Schizosaccharomyces pombe: one gene and its partners. The gene in region 3 interacts genetically with the main gene of each other region. Each region holds a gene or a part of one and is shown on either strand. Other genes may lie near its edges. The genes, in order: klp5, mto1, alp14 and lem2.

Region 1 (7,612 bases), on a different chromosome or scaffold from region 3:
GTTCATCAATTACTTGAAAAGACGATTTAGCATTTTCAATAACTCAAACCATCATATTCTATCTGTAAGTCATTGTCAGAATCAATTAAAAACTTTCAACGTCCTTCGTATAATATGAACATAGAGCTTTGTAATACGAATTGCTTAAATGGACAAGGAATTTTCGCGTTTGTAGAGAATACTGATGAAGGATAGAACATATGTAACTCAGTATAAAATTGTTCCCTTATCTCAACAACCATAAGAATTTATATAAGTACAAGCAAATGCATCTTCATTATTAACTTTGATCGCTATACTATTATTGCTCCGAGTATGCCATGGACGCATTTATACCATGTTTGAAAGAGATTCCCCAATAGCTTATAAGGAGATAGCTTTAGTTTTTGAAGAAGAATCAATCTGACAATGATTCCGTCCTTAAATTATTTGACAACAATTAATTTATATTATTAGCGTTAATCTCGTTCAGTAAGATTAATTTAAAATGATACATACCAAAAACGATAAAGGAGCATTTTTTTAATAATACGAATATCTTTCACTTAACCGTCTTATTAATATACTTAAATATGTGAGTTTATGAGGTTGACTCTGTGTTCTGGCACCAAGATGTACTAATTGGAACCATCAATCCTTTCCGCACCTACCTACATTTTATCGTTAACCCTCATTTTTTTAACAGTTTAACTTGTTAACTTGATTATTGGTTCGTTTTATAATTATTAAAACAATTATTAATTAAAAAAGAAAAAAATGAAGAATACTATTGTTCAACAACAACGCTTTCTCCAAAGCATCCACAAACCAACTTACTTGCAGGTAAGTTTTAAACGAAACTTGTTTTTAATTATGAAGAGAAAAAAGAACCTAATTGTTTAATATTTAGAGACCAGGTAGTTTTGCTCTTGTTTATCCTTACTACGCTGTTATGGCTGGTCTTGGTTTGTATTCCCTTTATGCCTCTGGAAGAGTCATTTTCGTATGTTATTACTCGATTTATACTATTTTTTTCTAACCTTTCAAAATTAGGGGAAGAAAGATGCTTTTTGAGGACATCCGAAGCATATTTTTATGTCAGGGAACTTCAAATTTCTATGATGCCTTTTCCTTCTATTTATCACCCCCTTCTTCTTGAATTAGTTTAGCTTTTCAATCACGAACTAATCGATTTCGTGTTTCTTTACGATTAAACTTATTTATGCAATACTTAAGTAGTTTAGTAGATGCCTTTTAAGGTTGTTTAGCTGCACATGTAACAGTAATTTAAATTTCATTAAATGTACAACATGATAAATCAGTTATTTTACCTTCTATGATGAAGCTTTTTGAATCGAAAATGGAGGGATAAAACACCATTGTCAAAACTGCTTTTAAACCCATGATCTCGTTTTGCACTGTAATCCCAATCTTTATCTACTATACTGAAGGCAATATCCTGATATGGTTCCCCAGCTATAAAACGTATAATGCAAACATCGTCTTGTAAATCAGTAGTGTCGCTTTTATTCTTCCTTCGTGTTCGTTCTATTCGATACGTTGGTGCACGGCCTGTACCTATTAAATCTGGATAAAAAACGTTAAAACGGTACCCTTGAACTGCTTTGGGAGGTGGGTGGGCTTCATTGAAATGTGCTTGATTATAAGAATTCCATTCAAACCCAAGCAAAACTCTATTAAAGTAGTGAGGCTTTTTCAAAGTAACCCCGTTTTCGTTAACAACACGGGTTTGCCCTTCTACATAGTCCCCAAGCATCTCTTGCTCCTCTGCATCATCGGATTGTAAGTATTCTCTTTCGAGTCGTGCCCTGTTGGCAATTGAAAATTCATCCTCGTTAATCAGATTACTGTTTTTCGGCAAAGTTGGCTTTTGTTTTTGGGTAGGTATCGATATTGGAATATAAGTGCTAGACTTTACAATATTGACATGATCATTCTAGAAAAGATTTTGGTTAGGACAAAAGATGGAAATCGTAATTTGGAAGAGAGTTAATATTATGAAAAACACAAATATCTTACCAATTCTTTTTCATAATCGGCTTGTTCTTCAGGTTGTATCCTGCGTGGTATCGCTTGAGCCCTCAAAATGGGCTTCGGGTCTATAGGGACAATATATAACTTCTCTTCACGATCCTTCATATTTGACAGTTTTTTGGCATCGGAAAAAGCTTTGTCCCATTCTTCATTATCAAGTTTATTTTTTCGAATTTGTAATTCTTCATTAAAAGTCTTTTTTAAATAAGCAATGGCCTTGTAAGATTTTAAAGAGTTTAGTAAATCAACCCAATAATCTGTATCGAGAGGGACATTGCTCTTCAATTTTTTTTGAATTTGTGCCTCAAGCTGTTCTAATTGTTCAAAAGATTTAGGGGCTAAAATCCTTTGTACTTCACCTGCTACGACCTTTAACCCTCTTGAAAATTGCCCAACTTTGTTATGTTCCATTCGAGAATTCACTAGCATTTTAACGTACTATAATGTATAATTTAGCACTTAAAGCATAAAAAATAATCCATACCTTCCAATAAGTTAGTCTACATTGGTTCGTTTCCAGCTGCTGAATATCACCAATATTTCTAGATATCTCCTCCAAATCTTCTGCTTTATAACTCTAAGTATGTTAATGATTAATCTGTTATAAAGTAAAAATAAAATAAGTCCCTTACTTGAATAACAGAGAGTGGATCAAACATGTCAACTGTTCCAAAATCAATTGAATTTTTTTCTCCATTCTCTTCCCATTCTGGGCCTGGCATCAAGTAAACGCTGACAAGAAGTTTATCTATAGGCTTAGAACGATCATTCTTAAGTCGAATAATAGCTCTTCGAAGCTGCTGTAAACGCAAAAATTCCCGTTCTTGCATTTCTTTCGTTTCCCTACTTCGCTCTTCCTCTTTCATAGCATCTCTCACTCTCGGCTAAAGGGAAGGTTAATTCAAAAACAACTAACATTTTCCTACTTACTAAATTATAATTTGCTCTTGCATTTTGATTTGAAGGTCGAAATGAACGAGGTGAAGAAGATCTCGAAGCATGCCTTTTTTCAGGTCTACTTCTGTTGAAATCGCGAGTTGAATCACGAAATGCCATAGTAATATATTTAAATTCAATGCCTTAAATACCAATATTGCTGTATGAAGGGTGCTTTCCAACAGAAGAGAATCCAATTGCTTTTTTTTTATTTGAAACAACTCAATGAGTAGGTTAAGTTTTTTTTTTTGAAATTTGAAACGTAGAGCTTTGTTATTTGATAAATGAACTTAAGGTAATCAATTACTTAGCAATAATAAGACTTATCCAACAATAGTAAAATTTATGGTTATGGCAAAGGTGAAATTTTATTGCATATTCGAATGCTTAGTAGGTAGTTCTAATTTGACGCTTGGTGGTTTGAAAGAAATTGAGCGGTAATGTTATAGCACGAAAAACCCCTAATTCATTATAGTTGCTATTGGTAAAAGTCTCAACGATATCGACTAAAAGGTGAAGTAAAACTCAGTATTTAGTACCTAACGAATATAGGAATACCCAATATAAAATATAGAATATAATTTTGTTTATAGCGCTCACTAGTCCTCTGCTTTCAAACTAATCAGATATTTAGGCCATCAGTTAATTGGCAATAAAGTAGCTAGTGCAGCAGTTGTGGTGTTTATAGAAGTGCTAGAAGAATATATACACTTATTTGATGTTCTATTGCAATTATAGGTGAAAATGATTTAAATTTGTCGGACGATTTATTAAAGTGTGATAAAAGTAAAGCAAAGCAAGAATCTTGCCAGGCATGTGTACATTATAAGTTACAAACCAAACGATAGCGATTCAGTTCAATCATCGAATTTAGTTGCCTTTTATAATAATAAAAATACTGTAAAAGCATCTATGATACTGAGATAGCATTATACACAACTAGTGAAAATGAAAAGGTAAAACAGTATTTCAACTCGATTTTAATCGTAACTACCTGTATTTGTGTTTATTGTCAAAATATGTAAATAATGTAATTGTTTACATCTTTTATTGCCATAACAACCATTCAAAACAAAGTGCGTTACTTGACTAAGAAATGTAACTTGGCAAATGCCAAACAGTCAACATTGAAGCGCACTCAAAAAACGCGTTTCTCGCTCTTTTCTACTGTTACATCTATTTTAATAGTGATCTTCGATATAAATTGCTTTTATTCAAGAAGGTTATTGGAATTGTTGTTTGCGAGTGCCCTTCTTTTCATCTGTTTTGGATGATTGCTTGCATGGAAATTTTGCTTTTCAATGTCAAGACAGTCGTCCATTACCGTTACAGGTTAGTCTTTAATGTGATGTTTTTTAAATTCATATCTTTTTGCTAACATAAAATAGTCCGTGTTCGCCCATTTAGTACAGCTGAATCTGCAAATTTAATTGCATCCTCAGATCGTTTATCATTTGGAACATCTTCTTCCTTAAGGAACCCTGGTTCAGGACGTCAAATTCGACGAGTAGTAAAGGTACTTGATGGACGTGTCTTGGTATTTGATCCCCCGGATGAAACAACGGCTACTTTGAGTGCCACAAACCGCAGACTTTCTACTTCTCAACAGAGTCTCGCTAGATTATCTAGAAAGTCAAACAATTCTGCGGGATTTGGCCGTGATCTTCGTTATGCTTTTGATAGGGTTTTTGATGAAACTGCTACTCAGCAACAGGTGTATGAGAGAACTGCCAGGCCGTTATTAGACAATATTTTGGATGGATTCAATGCTACTATCTTTGCATATGGAGCAACTGGATGTGGTAAAACTCACACCATTAGTGGAACAATGCAAGATCCTGGTTTAATATATTTGACACTAAAAGAACTTTTTGAGAGAATGGATCATTTAAGAGATGAAAAAATTTTTGACCTTCGCCTTTCCTATTTGGAAATTTATAATGAAACTATTCGTGATTTATTAGTATCACCGACCCCAAATCAAGCAAAGCCATTAAATTTACGGGAAGATGCAGACCGTCGCATTACTGTACCAGGTCTTACTTCTTTGTCTCCAGAATCTTTGGAAGAAATCATTGATATTATCATGAAGGGAAATGCTAATCGTACTATGTCTCCGACAGAAGCTAACGCTGCTTCATCTCGTTCGCATGCTGTATTGCAGGTTACGTTGATCCAAAAACCTCGTACAGCTGGCATCAATGAGGACCACACTTTGGCCACTTTATCAATTATTGACTTGGCTGGCTCAGAACGTGCAACAGCTACCAAATTAAGAGGTAGTCGTCTTTTTGAAGGTGCTAATATTAATAAATCTCTTTTAGCCCTAGGAAATTGTATCAATGCCCTTTGTGATCCCCATCGCCGTGCGCATGTCCCCTATCGTGATTCTAAACTTACTCGCTTACTTAAGTTTAGTTTAGGCGGAAATTGTCGGACAGTTATGATTGTTTGCGTATCTCCGTCTTCTGTTCATTACGAAGAAACTCACAATACTCTAAAATATGCTAATCGAGCAAAGAATATCAAAACCGAAGTGTTAAGGAACATGATCAGTGTAGATCGACATGTAAGCCAATATGTAAAAGCAATCGTTGAGTTACGTGAGCAAATTTCAGAGTTGGAGAATCGTCTCGCACAGATCGATTTGTCATCGCAATCAAATGGTTCTGATCAGGACGCTGTAACTCAATCTTTTGCTCATGAATCGAAGCTTGCAGAAGCCAGAAATTTATTGCGTATGACATTTGAGGAGACTTTACCACTGCAAAATGATACTATTAATAAGGTAGAAAAGGTGAAACATTTTGATGATTCAATTCGCGTACTTAAGTACTGGTTATCCTGCTATGAGCGAATACTTCCGAATTCCGCAGATGAACGAGTATTTTTAGTTCGTTCAAAGTTAGAATCATTGTTAACTCGTCGTGCAGAGATCATTGCTGATATAGATCCTGAACTTGTATACCAAAAGTTTCAGAGAAGTGTTTCTCACATTATCAACACATACAAACAAGAAGGTGCTACCATGTACGCTGATGTGTTACAGGATGAAGTTGACTTGCTAAAATCAATTATTGAGAATCAGGTTCTAGATGCTCAGAATAAAGTTGATGAGTTCACTCCTGTTTTAGAATCCCTTCTTAGAAGTTCTTTCAAAGCTAGTTCATTGCTAAAAGAGGGAGGTATGCAAGAGCTATTCTCGATACTGGAAAAGTGGTTGTTGGGCATTGGTCTTGGCGAGAAACCTAATATATCTGTCTTATCAGAAAGTTATAAGCTCAACTCAACATCCGATGATTCACGAACTATCAATCGTGATAGAGTTCATAGTTTTCCCACTCAACCCTTGCTTAATAATAACTTGCCTCGAATGTTTTTCGTGAAGTCTCCAAAAAAACCAGTTGTATTTTCAAAACGTTCTCCAAAAAAGAGGGTTCGTTTCGACGATTCAATGTCTACGTCTGACTCAGGTGCCTCCGCGTATAACTCACCCATTCAAACCTCTAAGTTAAAGAACATGAACTTCTTTAATACTATGCATATGCCTTCAACTCCTGCACATAAACGGCCTGAAAATAAGAATCAGATAGATGTTGAAATTAATCTTACTTCGCCTGTCTCCCCGATGTTGGAAGATAAACCAGAACCTGGACTTTTGATAAAAAGTCCTTTGGAGAAAAAGCAAGAAGTTAATAGTGAATCCACACAGCTTGATCAACTGCTGGCCGAGGACTCGTCAACTGACGATGTTTCTTTACCTCATCTGGACACTATTGATCTGGATGGTAGTCCAGTCCCAAAAGTTCCTGATTTGAATTTTTCCAGAGCCAATATGGACTCACCAACATTCATCCTCAACAATGAAGCTATTCACAACTTTGATTTTTCTAAACCGAAGACTCGACAAAGCCTCAGTTCATTGACTACTCTTCATCTTTCAAATCCAGCTAACATTATTAGGAAATCTTTAAGCATGGCTGAAAACGAAGAAGAGAAAGCCACCTAAAGGTCCGTATATTCAAATACGAATCCTCTAAATATCCTGTTGGGTATATTTAAAAAAAAAAAACGGATAAGCTTGATGATATGAATTTTTAATGAATTAATAACTTATTAGATTATATATTTATAAACCCTAAAATTCTCTTAGTAAACTTGCACAATTCGTTCGTAATGCACTATCAAATACAAGCGTACATATATGTCTGCCACCTCCAATGTACATAATTTTGTTTTTTTCTACCTAAGCAAAACACAATTGACTTGAAAAAAAAATAAGTACTATAAATGCAATTTATTAACTTTAATTAAATTTTTCCTAAATATCCTTATACACGACTAGTAAAGACGCTTTTCGTATGTAGCAAAACCTTGGATATCACCTTCACGGATGGCAGCGCTCGAACGTAACTCGAAGCGAACTTCATGCTTGTCGACAGCTTCATGAAGCTCATCAAGAGATTTGGTACCAATATCTTGAAGAGCGTGTTGCAAACCAGTGTAGAGATAAGGTAAAAAGCGAAGAAGCGAGCCCTTGTCGACGACCAAACCAGAGACACCTTGGGCAACACGGACAGCATCGTTTTCAGAGAAATAGCGGCCAGTAGAAGCATTCTTATTAACACCAGTACCTTCCATT
Region 2 (8,215 bases), 670 kb from region 3:
ATAGTCTCAGGGACCTCCTCGGGGTGAGCAATACAGTTGATAAGCTCAGGAATGAAACGGTCAATATCGGCGTTGGCAATCAAAGTACAGACCTTGGTCATGGTTTCCTTGGATTGCTTCTTAACCTCAGCCTTGGTATCCCACATGGACTCGGAAACAACAGGGATAATTTGAGGAAGGGAGTAGGATAATTGGGAAGGAGCAACCTCAACGAGAACATCCAAAAGTTGCAAAGAGTTCATCTTCTCATTCCACTTACCAGTGGTGTGGATGGACTCGAGAACAGAGGGGACGATGGCCTTGACGGCATAAGGGGTAGTGCAACGGACAATAGCCTTAGAAGCAGCAATGGCAGCATCTCTGACAGCGTTTTGCTTGTCAGCAACCTTGGCGATGACGGCGGGCAACAACTCGACCAAGTAAGGCTCGACATCAGCGGCAACACTACCATGGTTGGCAACGGCCTCAAGACCCTTCAAGACACGCTCACGAGCAGTGGCGTTCTTGTCGTTCAACTGCTTGGAAATAGCAGAGAAAACTTGAGAAGGCGCGTCTTGCTCTTCGATGGGTCCGTTGACAAAAGAAGCCAAAGCCTTGGCAGCATCAGCTTCCTCTGCGGCATCGCAGACAGTAAGGTGCTTCAACAACTCTTCAAGAGCTTTGACTGACTGCTTATTCTCACTCTTTGCAGACATCCCGGGGAAATGGTTGTTGGTAGATGAGCGGAGGTCCTGGTTGTATATGAATGGATTTTCTTAATGAAAATTTTGCAACTAAGAAAATACAGAAGGAGTACTTAAAATAAAATAATAATATGTTTTTATGTATTTAAATCTCATATTTACAATGTGACTGTTCTTTTTCTTTGGTTTTCTTCTTGGTGGTGGCCATAATCCACGGTTTCTTTGGCGGTGTTTAGTGGTTAGCGACGTGGAAAAACTATTAAGCGGCAAAATTAGAAGTCGCTAAATAAAATAACGTGTTTAGTGGCGGCGTCCTTTGTATGACGATATCATTGTAAATGTAAGGCTATATTAAAGATATCACTATAGATAAAGCATGCCATGAACAAATCGACGCGGTCCTTATGTCTCGTTAAACTAATACCACACTGCGTTGTTAAGAACGATTTTTGACGCTGTAACTCTTCTTTTCAACATATGTTGCTTGTAAGCTTTCCGTGGCTAAATGACCTCTGGCAATAATATGGTTTTGGTCGCATAACATGATGCAGTAGCACTAAATGAATTTAGCATAGGGTCGGCATAATCGCATTCAGATAGCTGCTGTCGGACATCATATTTTCAGAGTCAGAACTGTAATGATTGTATATTGGATCGTTATATACCCGCATCATTTATATAAGGTGAATATAGATATATCCTTCATTGAATTTCTATAAGTAAACTCAAATGAACTCCGTTTATGAGTTCATTCGCGAGTTAATTTAAGTGCATTCATAGTAATGTATTACATTATTACAAATATCTTAATACATATTTATAATCATTCATATTGCAATACGCGGGTCATAAAGGTCGCAACTGGGGTATAGTTATTCTGTTATACAGGTTATATTTTTACCTATCACTAATATAGCGTATAACTGATCCTCGTTCTTCATTTCAATTGTGCTTCCATTTGCATTATTCAGATAGTATAGAACTTATTATAATTTCATTAGGAACAATCGTAATATCGTATCATCTATGGTATAATTAGAATATGTAGCATATAGTGATATTCAGCGTTGTGTATCGCAGCGTATGTAATATTGCTGACACCTTAACCGATTTAGCAGAGTACGTAACTGACGAGTTTGAAGCAGTTTTTATGTATTACCATTTTTACTTAATAAAAATTATGTAGAGCGAGTGATGATGCCAAGTTTCTCTTTTATTTTGTAATAATCTATATTAGTAATATTTACATACCTGTCAACTTTTTTTTTCGCAAATTTTTTTAAACAATTTCATGGAATTAATGTTTGAAGAAAACATATCAGATCAATGATCAGCTTGAATAAAAAAAAAAATTGAAAAGAAAAGAAAGTTTTCAACTAGTTGGTTCATTCTAGTAAGTGATGATTGTAATTGATTTAAAAAAAAAAAAAATCCTTCGCTTAATAGAAAGAATGCTTTTCTTTGTTGTATTAAAAAAAATACTGAGTAGTATTAACTTAATTTACTTAGATAAATTAATTTACATATACTTATTTATTTATTATTATTTTTTTTCAGCTGCTCTACATATCTCAAGTTGATGAGTTGTAGAGGACTTTATTTTCGCATTCACTCAATTCAAGTTTCGAACACACTATGCAAATTAAAAATGTTCTCTTAATGAAAAGTATATTTGTTCGTATATTCATAGTTCAATTTACCGTTGCGATTGAAATCATCGAAATGTAGCATCATGTAACACGGTGAAAATAGAGACTGAAACAAATAATTTCAGGCTACATACCAACTATACGTAGGAAAGCAAATTTACGCTTGTTCGTGAAAACCTATGTACTCAAGCATAATCGTAGCGGACTTTAGTGTTTTTAACGTTTATTCCATCAATAATTAATATACTTAGGATTCACAGTGTGAAATGAGGTTAACATACCTTAACTTGAGGAGAGTTAATCTAATGAAAATCATAGTTACGTTTTACATATCATCAATGTATGTACTATTGTTTTGTGTATGTGCCATAGGCATGCCAAATAACATGGCTATTTATAATGTAAACGAGTGTGTGCAAATGTATAATTAATTTCATTAACTTCTTTTGAAAATATCTGCTTCTAACACAAACATTAAACCTTCTAAAATTGTAAAGTCCGCAATTACAAGTCTACTACTTTGTTGATCGTTAGTCTAACATGCGTCAAGTAGAGACAGCCATTGAGAACTACTGCCACTACATATATGCCATAGCGTATCAATAGGCATATCTTCGATCCCATACTTTCTTTTAACAATTAACAATTTAAGAAAGAATTAATTTCTTATTCAAAAATCGCTCCTTTGAAATTGTTACAAGAGTCAATGCCTACTGCTTTGGATTTGCTTATGTCGAAGTTCGTTTTCTAATCAATTATGGAAGAAAATTCCAGTGAGTTAGATAGTAATAACTTTAATGTTCTAGTGGATAATTTAGCTGGTCTTTCGCTGACGGACGAGGAAGTTCGTCGCATTTTATCACCCAGAAAGGAAGGATCTCGGCAATTACCCTCTTCTACATCAAAAGACGAAGATTCGGAAGAAGCTTCTCATAAGTATGATTTTGAAATTGATAGAGATTCTTTAAAATCTGATTCTGGATCACCTCGTCTCCATCAAAATGCTACTGCTCCAACGAGCTCTACTCCGCTTCAATCTCCCGATGAATCAGTCAATAAATTGAATAGCGAGGACGAGGAGGGAAATAGTTCTGTTGCACCTTTTTTTTTGGATACTACGAATTTTGATCGTCTCAATGACAACATTACTACTGATGATGAACAGCTTTCTCCCGTACTTACGGCTAATCAAGGGTTTCAGAGCCAAGAGCAGTATGAAGAAGATAGTTACAATAATTACGATTATACTTCGGACCCTTCAAGTCCGAACTATATCTCTTCTTCTCTAGATCAGTTACCTCATTTGGATGATGAAGATGATTTGCAATTAACCCCAATAAAAGAAGAACGAAATTATTTACATTCTCAAGATGCCCCCACTACCAATGCTTTAAGCAAAAAGATCTCCGATATATTGATACCGGCGTCTGCTATGAAAGACCTAAAAGACAGGAAAAATGCACTTGCCAAAGAGTTTGAGGAATCTCAGCCCGGCTCCTCCTTAACTTTAAAGGAACAAGCAAACGTGATTGATAATTTGAGAAAGGAAGTGTTTGGGTTGAAACTGAAATGCTACTTTCTATACGATCAATTAAATAAATTCCACGATCAGGAGGTTCAAGATATTATGAAGCAAAACATCGATTTGAAGACCCTTACTATGGAGCTTCAACGAGCCGTTGCAGGCTATGAGAAAAAAATATCTGGATTAGAAAGCCGGATTAAGCCTGATCAGTCTTTTAACCTTTCCACCCCCAGCCCGGCCCCTTCAAACCTAATTACTCTTCAATCGAGGTATTCGCAGGCTCTTTCAGAGCTTGAAACTACCAAAAGAGCGTTTGCGGCTTTGAGAAAAGAAAAATCAAAGAAGACGAATTATTCTGTTGGGGCATACAATGAAGATCGTAATGTACTGTCAAATATGCTTGATAACGAACGGCGGGAAAAGGAAGCTCTATTGCAAGAGTTGGAATCCCTTCGCGTACAGTTATCCAAAAAAGTTCCTATGCCTGCAAAAAATACTGATGAGCGTGTTATTGAAACACTTCAGCGTAGTAATGAACTGTTGAGGATGGACATATCTATGCAAAATGAAGCATTACTACTTCGCAAGCAGGAAAATGATCGCCTGGTTAAACAAGTGGAGGAGCTTACCGTTGCTTTGAATTCAGGGAAGATGAATGCGATTGTAGAGGCAGAATCAAGCAAGAATGAATTGTGGGATTCTATGATGGTATCTAGAATGAAAACCCAAGAGCAATCAATTGAACTTACTCGTTTATATAAACAGTTGCAAGATATTGAAGAGGATTATGAAAATAAATTGATGAGAATGGAGCAACAATGGCGGGAAGATGTTGACCAACTCCAGGAATATGTCGAAGAGATTACCCAAGAACTCCAGGATACCAAAGAGGTGCTGTCAAAGTCTTCAAAAGAGTCTGATGATTACGAAGAAGTAGTAGGTAAACTTAGGACTGAAGCAGAGCGTGAAATTGAGAAATTCGAGAAAACAATACGGGAAAATGAGGAGAGTATCTCTTTATTCAAAGAAGAGGTTGAAAAGCTTACTGATGAAATTACCCAATTGTCAGAACGTTATAACGATAAATGCCATGAATTTGACGAATTACAAAAGCGGCTGCAAACTTTGGAAGAAGAAAATAATAAAGCGAAGGAAGATTCAACTTCAAAGACATCAAATCTTCTTGAACAGTTGAAAATGACAGAAGCAGAAGTTGATTCTTTAAGGAAGGAAAATGAAGAAAACAAGCAAGTAATTGCTTTGAAAGAAAGCGAGCTGGTGAAAAGTAACGATAACAAACTTTTACTCAATGAGCAAATTGAGTCGTTAAATGATCAACTTAGTCAGTTAAAAACTGAAATGGAAAGCGTTACAACGAGTAAAGAATCGTTAGCCGATTATCTTAGCAACTTGAAGGAAAGGCACAATGACGAATTAGATTCATTAAATAAAAAACTTCGTGAATTTGAAGGTATATTGTCATCAAACTCTTCTTTAAAAAGTGAGATTGAGGAAAGAAATAATCAATACGTTACCCTTCGCGAAAATTTCGATTCTTTGCAGAATGCTATTATGGAAACATTTGATAAACAGGTCACCCACTGCTCGGTTAACCATTTGGTACAACAGATAAGAAAACTAAAAGATGAGAATAAAAAGGATCAGTCTGGTACTGATAAGTTGATGAAAAAAATCTACCATTGTGAGCAAAGTTTAAAAGAAAAAACAAACTCTTTGGAGACGTTAGTGTCTGAAAAGAAGGAGTTAAAGAACTTACTGGATGCGGAAAGACGATCCAAAAAAGCAATCCAATTAGAGTTGGAAAATTTGTCTTCACAAGCTTTCAGAAGAAACCTCTCTGGATCTTCCAGTCCTTCTGAAAGGAGTCAATCTAGAGAACTTAAACTTTTACAAGCATCTGAAAAACGCCTTAAAGAGCAAGTGGAAGAAAGAAATTCCCTCATAAAAAACATTGTCACTCGTTTTACCCAACTGAATACGGGAAGTAAGCCTGTAAATACCAACGTTGAAGCATTGACGACAATTTCAAGCATGAATCAGGCAGTAAATATGAATTTTAGGGAGTTGGACAAATCCATTCAAGAATTCAAACGGAAGTGTCAATCAATGGAGCGGGAATTTAAGACCGAACTCAGGAAGCTTGATGGTGTACTTGAGGCTAGAAGTAAGCGTTTATCACAGTTGGAAGAACGAGTGAAACTTTTAGGCGCTGGGTCAACTTCATCTATTCCAAATTCGCCAAGGGCTTCAAAACGCGTTAGTTTGGATTCCGAGGATAAAAAGCTTGTTCCCGCTTCTCCAGATAAGTCAGCAGTTCAAAGAGGTATCACAGCTTTGAAACGAGATGCTGAAGGAATGAGCCATATATGGCAGTTGAGACTAAGAGAGATGGAGTTTCAACTCAAGGCTGAGCAAGAAGGTCGTAAAAGAGACAAGTTGGGTGCCAGAGAAAGGCTTCAAGATTTGATTCGACAAAACAGGAGTCTTTCAAGGCAAATAAAAACGGATAAAGAAAGCAATTCTAGGTCTCCTTCTATATCATCACAAGAACATAAATAATAATCTGGATAGTTTGCGGTTGAAGTATATAGCTTTTCTTAATCACCAGTACATATCTACTTAGTTGGAGAATTTAATTGACAAAATAAGCTAATTCCAAGATTTATATTTATTTTTTATTTTTTTTTGTTCTCGATTAACCATTTTGGTGTTTGTATCTCCCTGATTATAAAGGAAATAATCACACATATTCGTAAAAAAAATTTATTTTAATCGCGCAAAAGAATTCGAAATATAATTTTTTATTTAACCTTTTTTAAGTAAATTTTACTGCGCATGTATCATCTTTGTAAAAATTCCCAGAACCCGGTGTTTGTTTACATTTGCTGGGAGAATCGAGTTTTATTCAGGCACAACGTGTACTCAAAATAAATTTCAAAATTGAGCTCACATAAACTTGAATAGGAGCAAAAAAAGGAAAGAATCCATTGCATGGAAAAAGCAATTCACTTGGGACAATTTTATAGAACGATTCCACAAACATAGAATGGACCTACTGGGCCTTAAAGAATTAGACAATAACAAACTAGTATCAAAGGCAAAAGAAAATGGAGTCGAATTTTCTGATTTATTTTTACTATCAAGCGGCTATTTACGAGACAGGGAAAATGCGTCAGCAAGTGTGTCTTCGAAAAATGAACGCATGGTGCTCAACGAAGAAAGACAAAATTGCTGGACGAAAAGAAATGATCCTAAAGGTTTAACTTACTACCAATTACTAAAGCCCAGTGAAGTTGAAATACTTAGTCGACCCGAGACAAGAAGAAAGCGGATGGCCTGTCAAGTTTTCTTCCTCAATTACTATATTAGCACAATTGAGTACCATAAACTAAGGAAGGAAAGATTGGAAGAATTTACAGCGTGTACATCGTCATTAAAACAATCTAAACAGAAGCGACTATGGAAAGAGCATTGTGGAAGGGAAAGAGCATTTTTGAGAAAAAAAAGAACCAAGATTCAATGTAGCCATTTCGATTTATTAGTAAAGCTTGGACAAGGAGGATATGGTTCTGTGTGGCTTGCTAAAAAGCGCAACACACACGAATTGTTAGCAATGAAAATGATGAAAAAATCAACATTACAGCAACTTAATGAAGTAAGAAGACACTATTAAAGATCTTAAAAGAAAACTAACAACGGCTCAGGTGAAACACATATTGAATGAAAGAGATATACTAACGAATACTAATTCCGAATGGCTTGTAAAACTGTATTATGCCTTTCAAGATAAGGAAAAAGTATATCTAGCAATGGAATACGTCCCTGGAGGAGATTTTCGAACTTTTTTGACTACCAAGGGGCTTTTGCATGAAAATCAAACCCGATTTTACCTAGCAGAAATGGTCGCTGCAATCAGTGCAGTCCACAAACTAGGTTATATGCATCGTGATTTAAAGCCCGAGAACTTTTTAATTGATCAAAAGGGACATATCAAGCTTAGTGACTTTGGGCTAAGTACTGCAATTGTTACATCGAATCAGGTAAATCGACTTCAACATGCACTAGTGAGCGCGGTTAATCCTCAGAGACCTTATTTAACACAAAAGCAAAGAAGAAACATTTATAAAGCGCTTTTGGAAAAGAATGAGAACAAGGTAAAGACATTTTGATTCAAACGTAAACTAAAAAAAAATTAGGTAAATTCCGTTGTTGGATCTCCTGAATACATGGCTCCAGAAGTTGTTTACGGAAAGAAATACGATAGGACCGTAGACTACTGGTCACTTGGCTGCATATGTTATGAATGTCTGGTAGGATATCCTCCCTTTTCTGGGTCA
Region 3 (7,672 bases):
TGAGCGATTGGAATCTTCGTCGGGGTTAAACTACGAAAGTGAAATACATCAATGTATTCGTACTCTGATTGCAGGCAACGGTGTTTAGCTCCCCTTCTCTATTTCCTTGAAAGAGCATAAATGGTACAAATCACTTTTATTGTTCAAATGAGGCAGGTTATACCTAAAAAAAGATTATTATTTTGGAACAGTTTATGATCTTAATTTTTCAACTCAATACAGGACGGACACGATAAATTTTCTTTTAATATTTTATTGCCTTACTGACATTTAACATAAAAAAGGGATCATTTAACTCCGCGTCTACTTGCTTTAGGAGGTGCTGAATAAGATTGTTTATTTACCAACATAATTCATGTATTTGAAAATTATTTTTTTACTCAAACAACTGAAAAGCTAATACTTCCTTACCCGTTCACCTGTATTTACATTCCATTTTACGAGATGATAAATTTCATTAAAGTTAAGTGAAAACTTCGTTGTGCCTCAGTATCAGAAATATGGAGCTTAGCAACAGTAATTAGTATGTCTTTTGCACTCTCTGTAAGGATACGAAAAACTGTGTCGGCATTTCTTTGTAATGTATAATATAATGGAGGTAATATTACTTTGCTATCCTTAGTATGACTAGGGCTATAGAGTATACCATTATAAATATAATAATAACTTTTATCGACCTAATGGAAGAATGAGAGTTCATTTGGGCTTCATGCTTTTTATTAAGTTTTATTTTGGAATAAAGGATTAACTTGCATGTCATATTGTGAGTATCAGTCTCATGCCCAACGTTACTAAAGAGCACTCATTGTATAATGATAGCTAACGCCGCTCATATGGTGAATGATAACGATAGAACTAATTATACTGAAGCTTCGTTATTTCATTGTTATGACCCTCTCATTTAAATGACATATCTCGTACAACATCTCCTCCATTTAATTTACGAAAACTATAAATTGCCAAGTATTCTTTTCAATTCTTTGTTAAAGGATTGTAAGGTTAAGCTTGACGTTGAAATGTCTCTTTTTTGGTGCCCTTGATTGTCTCTGCCCTTAATTTACATGGACAATTCGAGAGACAAAATACATATTTTAGGAGCGGTTTCTGACACCTTTCAAGAAGTTCAGCATCCTTGTTCTATCCTTAAATACAAGGTGTACTTTGTGACAACTGATACATTTTATTGTAAATACCTTACTGCAAGCTTTACTGGTCTGAAAAAGTTTCCTACTGAGAGACAGTTACCGCTGGAGTGTCATTTCAATCATATCGACTGGGATCTTGGAAATAATTTCAAAGTAAAGGAAGGAGTTTTCTATACGTTTGATATCATTGCTCCACTTCCTAGGTGCACCCCACGAACGATTGTGACTCAAGAAGGTTCGATTTCTTACAAATTAACGGTTAAATTGTATACTGAAGATGATTGTCGTATGCCAAAGTCAGCCAATGTTCCTGTAGTTGTACCTTTTACTCTCAATCCCGATCGAATTCCTGAATCTCAGCACATACGTTATGGAGCGCCCCTAAACGATGCGTGTTTTACTTCGCTATCAATGAAGTCTTCAAAGTATTCATTTCTAACTGCGTTCTTTAAATATCCTCAACAGTGCTATAAAGGACCAGGCTGTGTTTGCCCACTTTTAATTGATTTGGAGTCCGAAGATGCAGATGTACTGTCATCTACCCCAGGTTCTGCTGGAACAGATGATCCCCATATAGATCCCATTGCTATTAACTCCCAAGATTCTCAATTTATCTTTCAAGATCGGTTACCACGTTTGAGTAATGATTGTGATATGAAAGGACGCTCTTCATTATCTCGTACCTCGTCTCCTGTAGTCGAAAAGAAGTTAAAACGCTATTATATACGAGTGCTTCTTGTCCAAAGCATTACCTTTTTTCTTTTTAATGATGCTTTTCGAAACTCCATTACTGTCCTTTTTGAGGATGGTAAGTGGTCTCCACCTATTGTTCCTGGCCTCCATTCAAGAGTTGAGTTCACAATTCCTGTGAACGACTTAATTCACGGAAGCTGTACAGAAAATCCACACCTCCTTGTGCGACATTCAATTTATGTATCAATTCACTCTCGTGAACCCTCCTCTTTATCCCGAAAACTCGCTCCCCCATTCCTTCGGACTCACAAAGCTAAATCTAATTCACTATTTTCTATGAAAAGACCCTCATCATCATCTTCTTCGCTTTCTGGAAGCTGGCATGGCGATACTGAAAACAGCGTAAAGCAATCTTTAGCCTCTCCTTCCGAAGCCTCCCTACCAAATTTATCTAAATACTCTCGAAAAAATGCGAAAAAACTAAATGAGTGGCTAGATTCCTTGGATTTTAAGCTTCCTATATATCTGTTTCATAGGAAATTAGAGTCGGAATTGTCCCATTTACCGCCTTATTCCCCTTATCGTGATTCTTATTTCTACCTGGAGGACGATGATGGTGATGCCGATACTCCTTCCACCGCTTCTTTGGACTACTTTAGCAACATCAGTCCTCCGGACTTTTTGAACAAAGCTTAGAACTTTTCATTGGGCAAAGACTCATGTGATTGTTACTCTTTTTTCGACTGTCTGTACTTTACGCATATCTTTATTTTTTTTCTTCTAACAATTTCTTTATTATGTTTAATTTTTTTAAAAAGAGGTTTTCGTTTATACTTGGTACGGCTATACAGTATACTTGTGATGCAAAATTAAACAGACTACTTTTTTTAATGACACTAATACGTTTAATGCGATAAATTCGTACGTTAAAATTCTTTTATTTATTTTATATGTTTGTTTGTGTTGTGTGTTTGAGTTACCATTTGACTCCATCTTTAACCTATAGTTAAATCTGATTTTAAGAAATTTGGTATAAACGAGAATACGTATTTTGTTATTATTTTTGTAAACCGATATTATCATTATTCTAAAACATTAAAAAATAGAAAGGGAAGTAAGGGACATTGGAATGTAAACGAAAGAATTTAAAAACTAGTGAATCAATCCCTGATGTCTTTGGTCTGTTTGTTTCATCTCAGTAATTTTTTGTTTTAGTTTGGCAGCTAAATCAATGGCTTTAGTCCAATCAGGATTGATATTATTGGCCCTTGACGAAAACGGTGATCTTGGTAATTCAGCATGAAACGTGAAATTACCATTTGTTTTCGCAGATGCTAAAGGGGATCTCTGATTCACATCTATAGAGCTATAAAGTTTAGGTCTAGTAGGTTCAAATTCCCTCACTGAACGTTGAAATGAGGGACTCGTAGAGAGCTCTAAAAAGTCAGTATTAGCTCTTCGCATAAATGCAGGTTTTCTGTCTCCTATTGGTGAGGCTTTCCTGGCACTGCGTAAGGTATTTAATTCACCTTTCAATTCACTGAGTTGTTTTTGCATAGAAATATTCTCTTCATGTTCAACTTTCAACTGCTCTCGTAACTCCTCGTTTTCTCTCTTCAGAGATTCTAAAGACGAAATGGTAGAGTCATTGTCTTCTAATACTTTAGGGTGTTCATAACGATCAACTCGTGAATGCTTAGCCGGTTGAGGAGCCGGATCGTCCAACTCCATGTTCTTCAAATTTTGCACCGTTTCGTTAAGTGCTCCCGAATTCAAAGGAGTGGAAGCTTTTACTTTTTGTTGCAAACTGGAAGATGTGCCTCGTGAAAGCCCTCGAGAAACTGGCCTCGTAGTCGGTCTTGGTAACAAAGGACCATTCTCAAATGCATTACCCTTTGATACATCCATGGAAAGCGATTTGTTAGTTGCCTTTCGTGGAGATGGTACAACTGGACTAGAAGGAACAACGGATTTCTTGACAGCCTTAGCATTTGAAGGTACGACGACTTTTGATTCTTCTTGTTTTGAAGGTTTAACTTTCGACTTTTTTGTAGGTGCCTTAGCCTTTACTGTAGCTGTTTCATAAAAAGAACGAATTTTAGATTTCCTGATGTCGTCCAACGGACTTAAATACTGATTAATGGCTCTTTCACCAACGAGTTTCATCAAAACACCCAAGGCTTCTGCTGCCGCACTACGCACCGGCTCAAAGGTATCAGAAACACCAGGAACGCATGCTTTAGCACAGGTATCAACTGTAAACTTAGATGGTAAGGATGTCATATTACTGAAAGATCTCGAGAACAAACTAAAGCAGGAGCTTTTGATTTGAGGATTTTTGTTCCCGGCAAAGCTAGCAATGAGCTCGGCTAAGTCATCCAAACTGGATGTAGCCAAAACAGCATCCATCGCAGAAGATAGTGATTCGATTACATTAGCCTTTTTCTCTTTGGATCGTTCCAACAGTGCATTAATAGATGTTGAGGCATACTTCGAAAAATTTGAGCGTAAACCTTTAGCCATCGCTTGTATACAGTGTGCAGCATTTATAACCACCATGATATTTGCGTCTTTTGAAACAGACTTTGTGAGAATAGCAACTAAATTAAAAAAATCGTTGTCTTTGATCTTTGGTTGAGATAAGACAGGAAGTAGTTTGTCTAACGCTTCCTTACGATCCTTCCATTTCGAAGAAGCCATTAAAGTTTCCAGGTTAGGATCCACATTGGGTAAAACGTCCACTTCTTCTACCAAATCAAATTGATCATCTGACGGTTCTGGTTCACTTTCTTCATTCTCGAGAGCAGGTTGCTCTTCTACCTGTGTTTCAACATTCGGCTCTGATGTAGGTTGCTGACTTTTCAAAAAACGAGTTTGTTTGGGAGGCTCTGTTGGTAGCTCAGCAAAAAGAGACTCAAGCTCTTTCGTCTGAACTGGTCTTAGATCTTTAAATAGTAAATCTTTTAAAGGATCCCCTGTCCACCGATAAATGTTTACAGTTAAACGAGATGCTTCCTTACGAACATTTTTATCAGCATGACCAAACAAGTTGGAGATATGTGGAATAATCATTTTTGAAGGAATAACTTTAGCACCAAACTGCTCAACTAGACTAGCAATGGCAGCGACATTAGAAGCTATTACCTTCGGGGATCGAGCCGATAAAGAAGGAATGATTGATTCTATAACTGGCGCAGCTGAATCTGCTTCAACTAATAGCATAAGAGCTTCTAGTGCATTTTCCCTTGTACCTGCGCGAGGTGATGTTAAGCATTTCTCTGAAATTGAAAGGACTGATATTTCACGAGCTTTAAGTAAATGAGAAGGATCGGAAAACCTGCAATAAGCTACAAACGCTGCGGTACCAGCTTCTTGAGCTGCTACGTTGCTATCAGTCAGCACTGATTTCCACAATTCACTCTGATTATTCCAAAGCTCAAAGCAATTATCCGAACCATCTGCTGAAAGTGAAAACGATTTGCTGCACTCTTCATAAGCAGATAGACGCACTTTCCATACTTTATGTACTATTCTTGATTCTAGAGGAAGTTTGGAGTAGTCTTCTTCTTGATCTTGGCTCATGTTCCTCCGGGGTGCCAAAAATTAAAGGAGCGTATAAGATAAATAAACAGCAAATGCTCTCCCAAAACTCCAATTCTAAAACTCAAAAGTTGTACTTAGTACCTTTTCTCCCTTTTTTGAATAAATAATAAGTAATTACTCGTTAAGCCTGTAGGCAAATACAACACTGTCAAACTTTACAGAATATCGATTTAGCAAGGCCGGAGTATATAAGTATTAACTCGTTGAGTCAACAAATTCAAACCTGAGAAAATATAGCCTTTAATAAAAAGTATCTTTATTAAGACTTAGGTTTGCAAAATAGATGTTTGGAGTTGGTAAGTGTTACTTTTGGACACTACCGAAAATGCAGTCATTCAGTTGAATATAAATTACTTCCTAGCTTGCTCCGTTCTTTCAATAAATGTAAACGAGTAATAGAAAGGGAAAAAAAATAAACTAAATTTCGTAGAAGTAATCAATGTTCTTAGTTAGATTTACAACTTGCATTCTATTACGCTTGAAAATACTTCTTAGTTAAAATCTTGCCTTATCTACCTTTTAAATATAATTTATTTTTAAAAAAAATTTTTATGTGTTGTTTTTTTCTCTAACATGTAAAATTGTGTTTGAGTTAATTGAGAAGACTACTACACCAAAGTTTTTGATACTAATAATTAAAAATACATATTTATATATATATATAACAACTAAAGTAATGAATCAATCTGATGAATGTCTACCATTCAGCACTAATTATGCCAACCTAACAACCCATTAACCTTCCTTTTATTTATCGACAATTATAACAATAAATAATTTATCTAAGCATTTTTAACCACCCCTCAGGTATGTTTAAAACAGGCCAACCCAATCTAACATTACCAATTGTACTTATTTTCAAGTTTATCCCAACGTAACGTTCAAAAGTCGTACACTGGTATCTTCGCCAGCAATTAAAAGAGAATACAACCCCATAGTTTCAAAAGTGGGCTTCCATAAAATTTGGTTAATTGACTCCATAGGAGCCATGTGGTCTGGTAAACGTGTTGGGTACCATTTGGTAAGATTCTCTCTCGGGCATCTCCAAATAAATATTTTACCAGCTTCAGTTCCTACCGCAAGCAAGAGTTCATCGTTGTGAAAGAACGGAGCAAAGTCAACAGCGGTAACAGCATCAGAAAATTGGAGAGCAGCAACATCACATATTTTTTTATTGTCATTGATTTTCCAAAATTTAACCTAAATAGTTAGCAAGATTTGATCAAATAAAAAATTACTCACGAATTTATCACGCGAAGCAGTCGCAAAAAAGTAACCCATTTCTTTGGGAGCCCAACTAGCATCCCAAATAATACGAGAATGCGCTTTTATAGAAGCAAAGTTATTATAATCCAATAAATTTTCGGCTTGCTCATGCAAACACACCAACCGATCCCGCCCAGCACTTAAAATGTATCGGTCATCAGGTGAAAACTTTATAGTTGTAACCGTCAAAGAATGACCTTTAAGGACTTGCTGCTGATTCCATGACTGCGTTTCGTATAACCGAATGACAGCATGTTCGGGGGTTTGTGATTTACAAGAAGTCGCGGCAATATTACCATTATTAGATATGGCGCATGCATAAACCTCATAACCATGGCCGAATAATTTTTCAACTTCCGGAAACAATAGCAAACGCTGTAAGTGTTCTTCAAAAGGAGGATGGTTCAAAGAACCAATCACATCAGCAACAGGAGTCTGAACTTCTTCTGCATTTACCGTACCAGTTTCAGATGCAGTGGTAGCTTTATTAGAAAGACCTAGTAAAGGAACATTTGCAGCATCAGGTAAGCTTTCCTCCCCAATATTGGTATCGCATAAACGGTAAAGAAGTCTAACAATTGTTTTAGGGAATTTAAAAACACGAGACACCTTTTCATCGGCACAGCTCAAAAATCCAATTCGAGAAGGCATACAGGATATAGAGGTTAAGTCATAGCCATGGATCTGAGGTCGAGCCATTTCATGCCAAGCATTATCCTTTTTAAAACGTGCAAACAATCTAGTAGTTTGATCTGTGCCGGCGGATAAATAGAATTTACCTTCAGGATCCCAAGCAACGCCTTTCACTGACTTTGTGTGACCAGAAATAGATGGAAGTTGGAGCCATTGCCCAGCATCTTGCTTCCAGAGTCTCCATCCACCAGTTCTTCCCCAGCATACTACACAATTACCATTTGGGTTCCACAAACCTCCCCAAAACCCTCCAGCACTACCAGTTGCTGTAG
Region 4 (7,235 bases), on a different chromosome or scaffold from region 3:
AGAATCCAAAAGAGTCAATAAGCATTGATGAGTAATATCAGGACGCGCTTGAGCAATGTTACGGTTTAACTTTTTTAAAATACCTTGATGATCATCGCAATTTAGAAGTTGATATTTTGCATCCTTAGCCTTGCCAACTTTATAAATTTCCAAACATGCTTGGTCCAATACGACAATCAAACGCTGTGTTGTAGTATCATGAGAACCAATTGACCTCGCTGGTATTGGCGCCATATGGGTAGTAACACGATGAACCGACCCTGCAGGAAGTGGACGAGCTTTGACGGTTTTGGAAGAAGCACCATTGGGATCCTCCTTTTCTTCATCTGACTTTACTACATTATCTATTTCTAAAGCCTCAACACCCAACTCTCGATCGATAGACTCTGGCTTTTTCGAAAGAGCTTCAACAGAAGCTTGATTCTCACGAAGTCGTTGTAATTCTTCATCTTCAATAGAACCTACTGCACCATTACTCTGCTCCTTTTCATCTTGCATCAATTCACTAGCAGTTTCACCTGACGTTATTGTTTCACTCGATTGACTTCTCTTTATGAATTTGGGTTGATTGGTTTTCTCAGAAACCTCTAAAGAGCCTCTAGACTTCCTTTTGGAATAAGTAGGCATGAATGATGAAAAAGCTAGTCTACCAGATATTGGGTTTCGACAAAAAATAATGGCTTGAGAAATTTGCTTTTGGTGGTAGCTACAAATAACTATCAGATCTAACCTACCTTGCTTAAACAAGATAACGCATATTTACGAACTTACGATCCGCTTAAACCAACAAGTGTAAAACCAAACATATCACTCGCGCATTGAGCTGAACAAAACAATGACTTATCTAAATCAACAAAAAAATTATAAAAAATCTACACACGCCGAAAATTTGTTTTCAATGAATTCTATATTAACTAAAAAAATGCAGGTAATATAAGTCCATCTTCAGCAAAAAAAAAAAAAATAAAAATAAAAATAAAAAAAAAACGGAAAAGAAGTAAAGGAAGTGGATTAAAAGGAATGTGTAAACAGGTATCGTCAACACACAGAAAAACCGTGCCTTCTAATACTGTTGCACATATCAGGTGGATAAATACACAAACGCGACACATCAGTGACGGAAATATGTGTTTATATTAGAAAAACTAAATCACCACTTAATGCAACATTATTTGTAAACAATGAAGGAAAGAGATAAATTTAAAGTTTTAAAAAGAAATGATTCCAAAACTATTTACAAATAAGAGCAATAAATGTTGCCGTAATTCAGTCTTTACGTAAAAACGATTTGCGAGTGAAAGATATTATAATCAACGATAAGTTGACTATCTTGACTAGCAATGAAAGCTCAAAAACCGAGGGCTTGAAAATTGCAAACATTCAAAAAAAAAAAAGCATAAAGCACATTGCATGTACTCCTTGAGCGTAGAAGATAGGTTACAACATTCGCCAAAAAAGGTGACCACATAAATATCACTTATATTAGCAAACATCATGTATATCATGGACGAAAGTTTAAAAGGTTGGCAACCAAAGCCAAGTTCATGAGAGGAAAAGAAGATTATAACTATAATCCTCGACACAGGAAAATAAGATGTACTGTCATCGCAAAGCAATAGGCAACACGTCAGTAATAATTAGGAAAATTAAAAGAAAAAAACACAAGAGAAAAAAATGTACGAGACCGGTGAAACAAGTTTCAAACAAATCTCGATAAAAGCACAACGAGATTATTAATAGCATAATAAAAACTAGCCAGAATAAAATTAATGCAATATGCAGATCATAACACCCAACGCTCATAAAAAAGGTAACAAATGCCCATTCTAAGCATACAAATCGAAAAGTAAACGAGGCACATTTTCGATAAATAGTCATTGACGAACATTTCCATATTATAAATGAATTGCTCGCTCAATTAACTAACAAGGAATAAGATGAAGTTAAGGAAATCTAGTCAATAAAAATCAAGATTTCAAATCCAAGAAATCCATTAAAAACGTTGGCATTTCTTTTAACTATAAGCCGTTAGAAAAGGAATTCAGTAGCTTTTGTATGAAATCCTCTAAAAACCAAAAGCGAAGGAAACAAAATTAACCCATATAGAGAGCTAAATTCTATAATCCAAAAAAACAGAAAGACAGAGGTACATAGGGTGATAGTAAGAAAGTCATAATACTAGCAAAAATACTAGACTATGATAAATTCTCTTGGCCAATGTTCAAATAAATAGTGCTACAACGAACACGTGTAGATAAACGCGGAGACGAAAGAAGGTGAAACAAAAAAGTGGAATAGTTAGAACAGAACACGAGGCTTAAAAAGGTGATATGTCCTTAGACATAAATAAGCATCCAATGAAACTATGCACTTCCTTGACGCAGCATACGGAACAAGCGCTGTTCACGATCGCGATGAAACAATAAGTCTAGGGCAGAAGTAGAATGACAATGAATGCCGTTATTAGGGGAATTCAAAGTAGGGGTAATGTTACCAGTGGGATGGCCGGCAGCATTGAAGTGATTAAAAGAAGGAGTGGAAGCTGAATAGTTAGTATGAGGAGAATTGTGTCCACTGTAAAATCCATTCGTCTGTTGAATACTCTGCAATGAGGGATCGTTACGAGACATCGGACAAAAATTATGACCCATGGCAACTTCGGATGGGGTTGAAGGAACAGAGGAAGATTGATGAAACTGGAAAGGCATGTTTGAGTTCACACTACCAGTAGGAGGTTGCCATTCAGCCTTTTCGGAAACGGGAGAGTGTAAGAACGTAGGGATGGGAAGATTAGAAGCGGCCGGAGAATGAGTAAATGTAGGACCGGCGTAAAGAATGGAATTAGTATCGGAAGAGGAATTCGAAGAAAAAGATCGATCAGCACCGGAAGAATTGGAAACGTAAGAAGATACAGACTTCAAATGAGAATCAACTTCTCCGACGGCAACCTTATCAATTCCTAAGCCAGCAGGAGCCGAAGCAACACCAGAAGGAAGGTGGGAATTAGAATTGCCACCTGAGATACGAGAGCCAGCATACGAACTGTGACCAGATTTAGAGCGTCGATTCCCGCGTACTTTATCGCCATTTCGCTTACCATTGCTTTCACCAATGTTAGAAGTAGCAAAAGTACTCTTGGGTTTCACAAAGTTAGGTATCTGGAGATTACCATCTCGTTGGGGCATAATCGACATTCCATCTAAACTGAACTCGACATCGCTGGAAGCAACCATTGCTCCGCCCGGTTTAGAATTAATTTTCTTCTTATTACGTTGAAATCTACGTCCAATGTCTTTTTGCATTTTTTACTATAGTCAAAATTCGAGTAATCCCTAATGATCATGGATTCTGTATTCTTAGTGATTGATGTTGGTTAAGGATAACTTCGGGGGCAACACTCTTACCCAATATACGTTATTTGGGCTGAGGTGACACAAAGCAATGAGCTGCGCTATGCCTCCTTATAGAGCTTTCTTCCCTTAACCATTATTTGCCACCCACTTTAACTGGCAAAAAGAAAGAAGGAAAACAAAGATTCGGCACAAAGATAGAGAAATAAGAAATTGCTTTACCTTCGTTTAGTGAAGTCTTTTATTAAATTTGAAAAGGTGTGTTTGAACAGTGGAATTCAAGCAATTTCCTAAGTATATTATAGCTCATTGCTGTAATATTATAAATTTGTATGGGATTGCAATTACGTTCACGAATCAGCAACTTATGCCAGGTTTCCTTTTTAATGTAGATAAGGATTCATGTAATTAACTAGCTTATATCAGCTTTATACCATTTTTGATCAGTTTGAATTATTCACCATGGACAATTGGGAGGACCCTAACTTCGAATTGCGAAATCTTCGTGTCATAGACTTGAAAAAGATCCTTCATGAATCGGGAGTGTCATTCCCTGTGAATGCCAGAAAAATAGAGTATATTAGGATGGTGGATAGAATACGGAAAAACAAATTAAGCTCTGGTCCACAACATTTATTGTCTCATCTTCAAAAAGAGGAAAACTCTAACACCTCAAAAGCGTCTAGCTCCGAGGATGAAATAGCTCCTAAATACCTTTATCCCTCCTCTCCTTCCAAAAGCACGAAAAAGCCACACAACGAAACAGAACCGCTTCTGTCTCCACAATTCATTGACAAACCTAGCAACATTGAAACCCCGGTTAAAATAGAGTCTCCGCACGTCTCTCAAAATAATACCTTTCAGTCCTATTCTGAATTGAGCCCTAATGTGGAAACATCGCTGACTATGAAAACTCCGCCAGCCCACGCGTCTACACCAAAATTTCGCTCGCATAAATCTCATAGGGTAGCTGTTCCTATGTCATTTATGGATAGCTCTGCTTTACATACTTCGCCAGCATTTTCGGAGAGGTTAAAGCTGCTTTCATCTTCAAACAATTTTTCTCCACAATTGAGGTCTCCCAAAATATCACATCGTCTACAAACTTCAGCCACTTCTAGTCCTCTTCAACATAAACGACCCTTTACTAATGTTCCTGAGCGAGTCTCTCGAGATATCGAGTTTGCTCCTCTTGACAGTGCAAGGCCCTCTGAATCTTCATCGCCTTATTCTGAAGTAGACTCTGCTGAGGAAGATGACGAGCTTTTTCAAAATTACGTTTTGCAGCAGACTCGAAAAGAAAGCAAACTTTGGTCGTTTATTAAAAAAGTATTTCACGACATTAAGTACGCCAATTATCGTCTTCTTCACAATTTGCGCGCCTTTCCTGGAATCAGCGCGATATCTTCTTCTTATTTAGTGCATATTTTTATGATTTTATTAGGAGTGGTGGCAGCAATTTTTCTGGCTTTATTACGGGAGAAAATGTTTACAGCAGGATTCTGTGATTCGGGTGCCAGTGGAAGTTCTGCTTCAATTCTTGGAATAAGTTTTCCATCATTGTGTAGAACTTGCCCTCCGAATGCAATATGTCCCTCTCCAAATTACGTTGAATGCAAGCCCGGATATGTCCTCTACGAACCATGGTATTCAAGTTTAGGATTTTGGCCCTCCAAGTATTGCGTTAGTGATACTTCTAGAGAAGAAAGTGTTAATATTTTTCGTGAAGAATGTTTAAGTGTATTAAGATCCTGGAATGCAATTTTGCATTGTAGCAATAACTCGTCAGATTTGCTGGAACGAAATATGTCGTACAATGCGCACCCTTATGTCGCCGATAATCTTAATATATCATCTGATCATATCTCCTTCCCATCAAAACCATTTGCGTTAGGATTATTACATGATACGCTTCTTGAAAGAAAATCTCCAACCCTTGGCCTTGAAATGTTTGAGGACTTATTTAAAGCTTCTTTGGCAGTACTTTCTGAAACGAATGAAGTTGTCATGGATTCAAAATTAATTTGCTACGATAGCTGGGCAGGTATTCCTTTGCGGTGTCGTTTAAAACAGCAACTGATAAAATTTGTTTGGAGGAACAAAGTTTTTTTATTTGGAATCCTTGCGTTGTCAGGAGTTATTTTTAAGCTCATCAATTTTTTTCGTACTCGCAGTATCGTAGCAAAGTATCTACCATCGGCTTCTCGATTCTGTGTAGAATCTTTGAAGAGACAGAAAGCAAATTATCAAATGTCTCGATCTCAAGAACCCGTTATACCACTAATCGAAATGCATGATATACTCTTTCATGGAAATGGCCCATTGGAACAAATTCATATGACGAAAGCAACTGCTCGAACTCTTTGGGAAGCAATAGTCGAACGTGTTGAACAAGTTGGCAGTGTAAGAACTCGTGAATCAGAAGTAGACGGCGAATGGACCCGTGTATGGGAGTGGGTCGGCACAAATACTTTGGATTTCCAAACCGATCGTTCATTTATTAATACAACTTCCCCTTTACGTGAATAATGATTCTCGACTGTATTTCTAGCTTTGTATTTATGACATTTTTCATAGCTAATACAAAAGTAAGTTAATAATATATTTATCTGAATGCTTATACATATTAAAAATGAAACATAAAATTGGTATAATGAGGACTTGTTTGCAAGGTTGATGAAATTTAACTGTATTTCTTATATTAATGTGATTCTTAGTTATACCAAATAAATTATTTTAAAATAAAAACCAAAACCAGTACCATTTTTGATTGAATATGGGCATGTCTAGAGTAAGAAATTAGCGGAGAAAAAATAGGACATGTCACATAGAAAGGGTATTTAAAAAAAAATAAAGGAATTCAAAAGGGAGATTCACCCAACATTACGGTTGAAGATTCGTAGTCTGTGTCTTCTTCTTCCTCGTCATCATCCAAACCTGGAATTTGTTGCCATTCGTTATAAAATGGTTGAACAATTATAGAAGACTTCGTAAGCCGGTAAGGATCAAAGGGAAAATAGGCATCCATAGTGTCGAACCCTTCTCTAAAAATTCCTTTTCTGTTTTGCTCAATAATGGAATAGACGTACATAAAATTGAGATGATTTGCAACCTTTGCAAATTGAAGTACAATATTGGGGGAACAGTATCTCAATGGATTAAGCCGAGAAAGAACGGACCGATGAAGTATCTCTAAGCCCGGTATCCATTCGTTAGGTCTTGGCTCCATGGATTCAGACTCATCAGAGACACAAAGTTCACGCCAACGAAAGCAAAATATGTAAAAAATACTTTGATTAATTGCGTAAAAAACCGAGTGTTTAGATAGTAAATCATCGGACAGCTCGTTTTCACATTGATCTAAGTAAGCTTCAACCCAACGAGTCATCATATTAACGATGATCTGAATTGTATTTTTTTCTAAAGCTTTGGCTCTAGCAACGTAAGACCCAATATACATTGCACCACTTAATCTTAAAGTATAAGGTTGTGATGGGTCAAGACAAACTTCCGTAAGCACTCCAAGGAAAATATCAGTAAACTCGGGATCCAACTGAGAAGCCCAAAATATCAAAAATTGAGTATATCGACAACGGAACGTTTTAAGGACCGTGTTCACAAATGATTTAATCAAACTATTATAAACCAAGTAACGATCTCTACTAGTAGATTTTAAATTGGAATCTAAATAAGAAAATAAAGTATACAATAGCTGATCCAGTTGCTGCATCAATTGACGAGTGTCTGTTAATGAGGGAGGAGTCAATATTGTGCTAGATGTCATTTCACTTGAAATAGCAGTATGCCGTTCATATAACGTTGAAGCTGTAATAACTTCAGAATCGGCATTGCTAGTTCCATCATCATCTGTTACCACTTCATCCT

The links.
Region 1: mutations in alp14 (region 3) and klp5 are lethal when combined (synthetic lethality), as found in Schizosaccharomyces pombe (one study listed by BioGRID).
Region 2: of alp14 (region 3) and mto1, changing one enhances a phenotype caused by changing the other (phenotypic enhancement), as found in Schizosaccharomyces pombe (one study listed by BioGRID).
Region 4: of alp14 (region 3) and lem2, changing one enhances a phenotype caused by changing the other (phenotypic enhancement), as found in Schizosaccharomyces pombe (one study listed by BioGRID).

The regions. Positions count from the first base shown.
Region 1 is NC_003423.3:1,708,581-1,716,192, reverse strand, and holds klp5 (kinesin-8 family plus-end directed microtubule motor Klp5), read left to right. Parts: upstream 1-4,075; 5' UTR 4,076-4,271; coding exon 4,272-4,302; exon of another isoform or gene 4,303-4,358; coding exon 4,359-6,979; 3' UTR 6,980-7,112; downstream 7,113-7,612. Other genes in the region: cytochrome c oxidase subunit VII Cox7, read left to right, coding at 757-822, 890-982, 1,033-1,053; cay1 (cactin), read right to left, coding at 1,307-1,936, 2,020-2,472, 2,519-2,611, 2,667-2,918, 2,965-3,090; IMP dehydrogenase Gua1, read right to left, coding at 7,312-7,612. UniProt on the Schizosaccharomyces pombe protein: Has a role in establishing metaphase during mitosis. Required for chromosome segregation where it generates tension during kinetochore capturing.
Region 2 is NC_003421.2:1,678,146-1,686,360, reverse strand, and holds mto1 (gamma tubulin complex linker Mto1), read left to right. Parts: upstream 1-3,089; coding exon 3,090-6,437; 3' UTR 6,438-6,600; downstream 6,601-8,215. Other genes in the region: tef3 (translation elongation factor eEF3), read right to left, coding at 1-695; mug27 (protein kinase Mug27/Slk1), read left to right, coding at 6,925-7,533, 7,583-8,032, 8,075-8,215. UniProt on the Schizosaccharomyces pombe protein: Spindle pole body (SPB) component that acts as the gamma-tubulin complex-binding protein of the SPB outer plaque.
Region 3 is NC_003421.2:1,009,510-1,017,181, reverse strand, and holds alp14 (microtubule polymerase alp14), read right to left. Parts: upstream 5,740-7,672; 5' UTR 5,421-5,739; coding exon 2,991-5,420; 3' UTR 2,868-2,990; downstream 1-2,867. Other genes in the region: ATP-dependent RNA helicase Ucp12, read left to right, coding at 1-88; SPOM_SPCC895.08C (uncharacterized protein), read left to right, coding at 1,062-2,534; elongator complex subunit Elp2, read right to left, coding at 6,306-6,641, 6,684-7,672. UniProt on the Schizosaccharomyces pombe protein: Required for bipolar spindle formation and proper chromosome segregation. Has a role in connecting the kinetochores and the plus end of pole to chromosome microtubules. Also required for the activation of the spindle checkpoint pathway.
Region 4 is NC_003424.3:2,230,786-2,238,020, forward strand, and holds lem2 (LEM domain nuclear inner membrane protein Heh1/Lem2), read left to right. Parts: upstream 1-3,492; 5' UTR 3,493-3,812; coding exon 3,813-5,879; 3' UTR 5,880-5,988; downstream 5,989-7,235. Other genes in the region: rRNA (pseudouridine) methyltransferase Mra1, read right to left, coding at 1-627; protein Edc1, read right to left, coding at 2,364-3,302; RNA polymerase I general transcription inititation factor subunit Rrn3, read right to left, coding at 6,211-7,235. UniProt on the Schizosaccharomyces pombe protein: Nucleus inner membrane protein involved in meiosis. Plays a role in regulating nuclear envelope (NE) morphology and nuclear integrity, particularly during spindle pole body (SPB) extrusion or insertion through the NE, and perhaps during karyokinesis.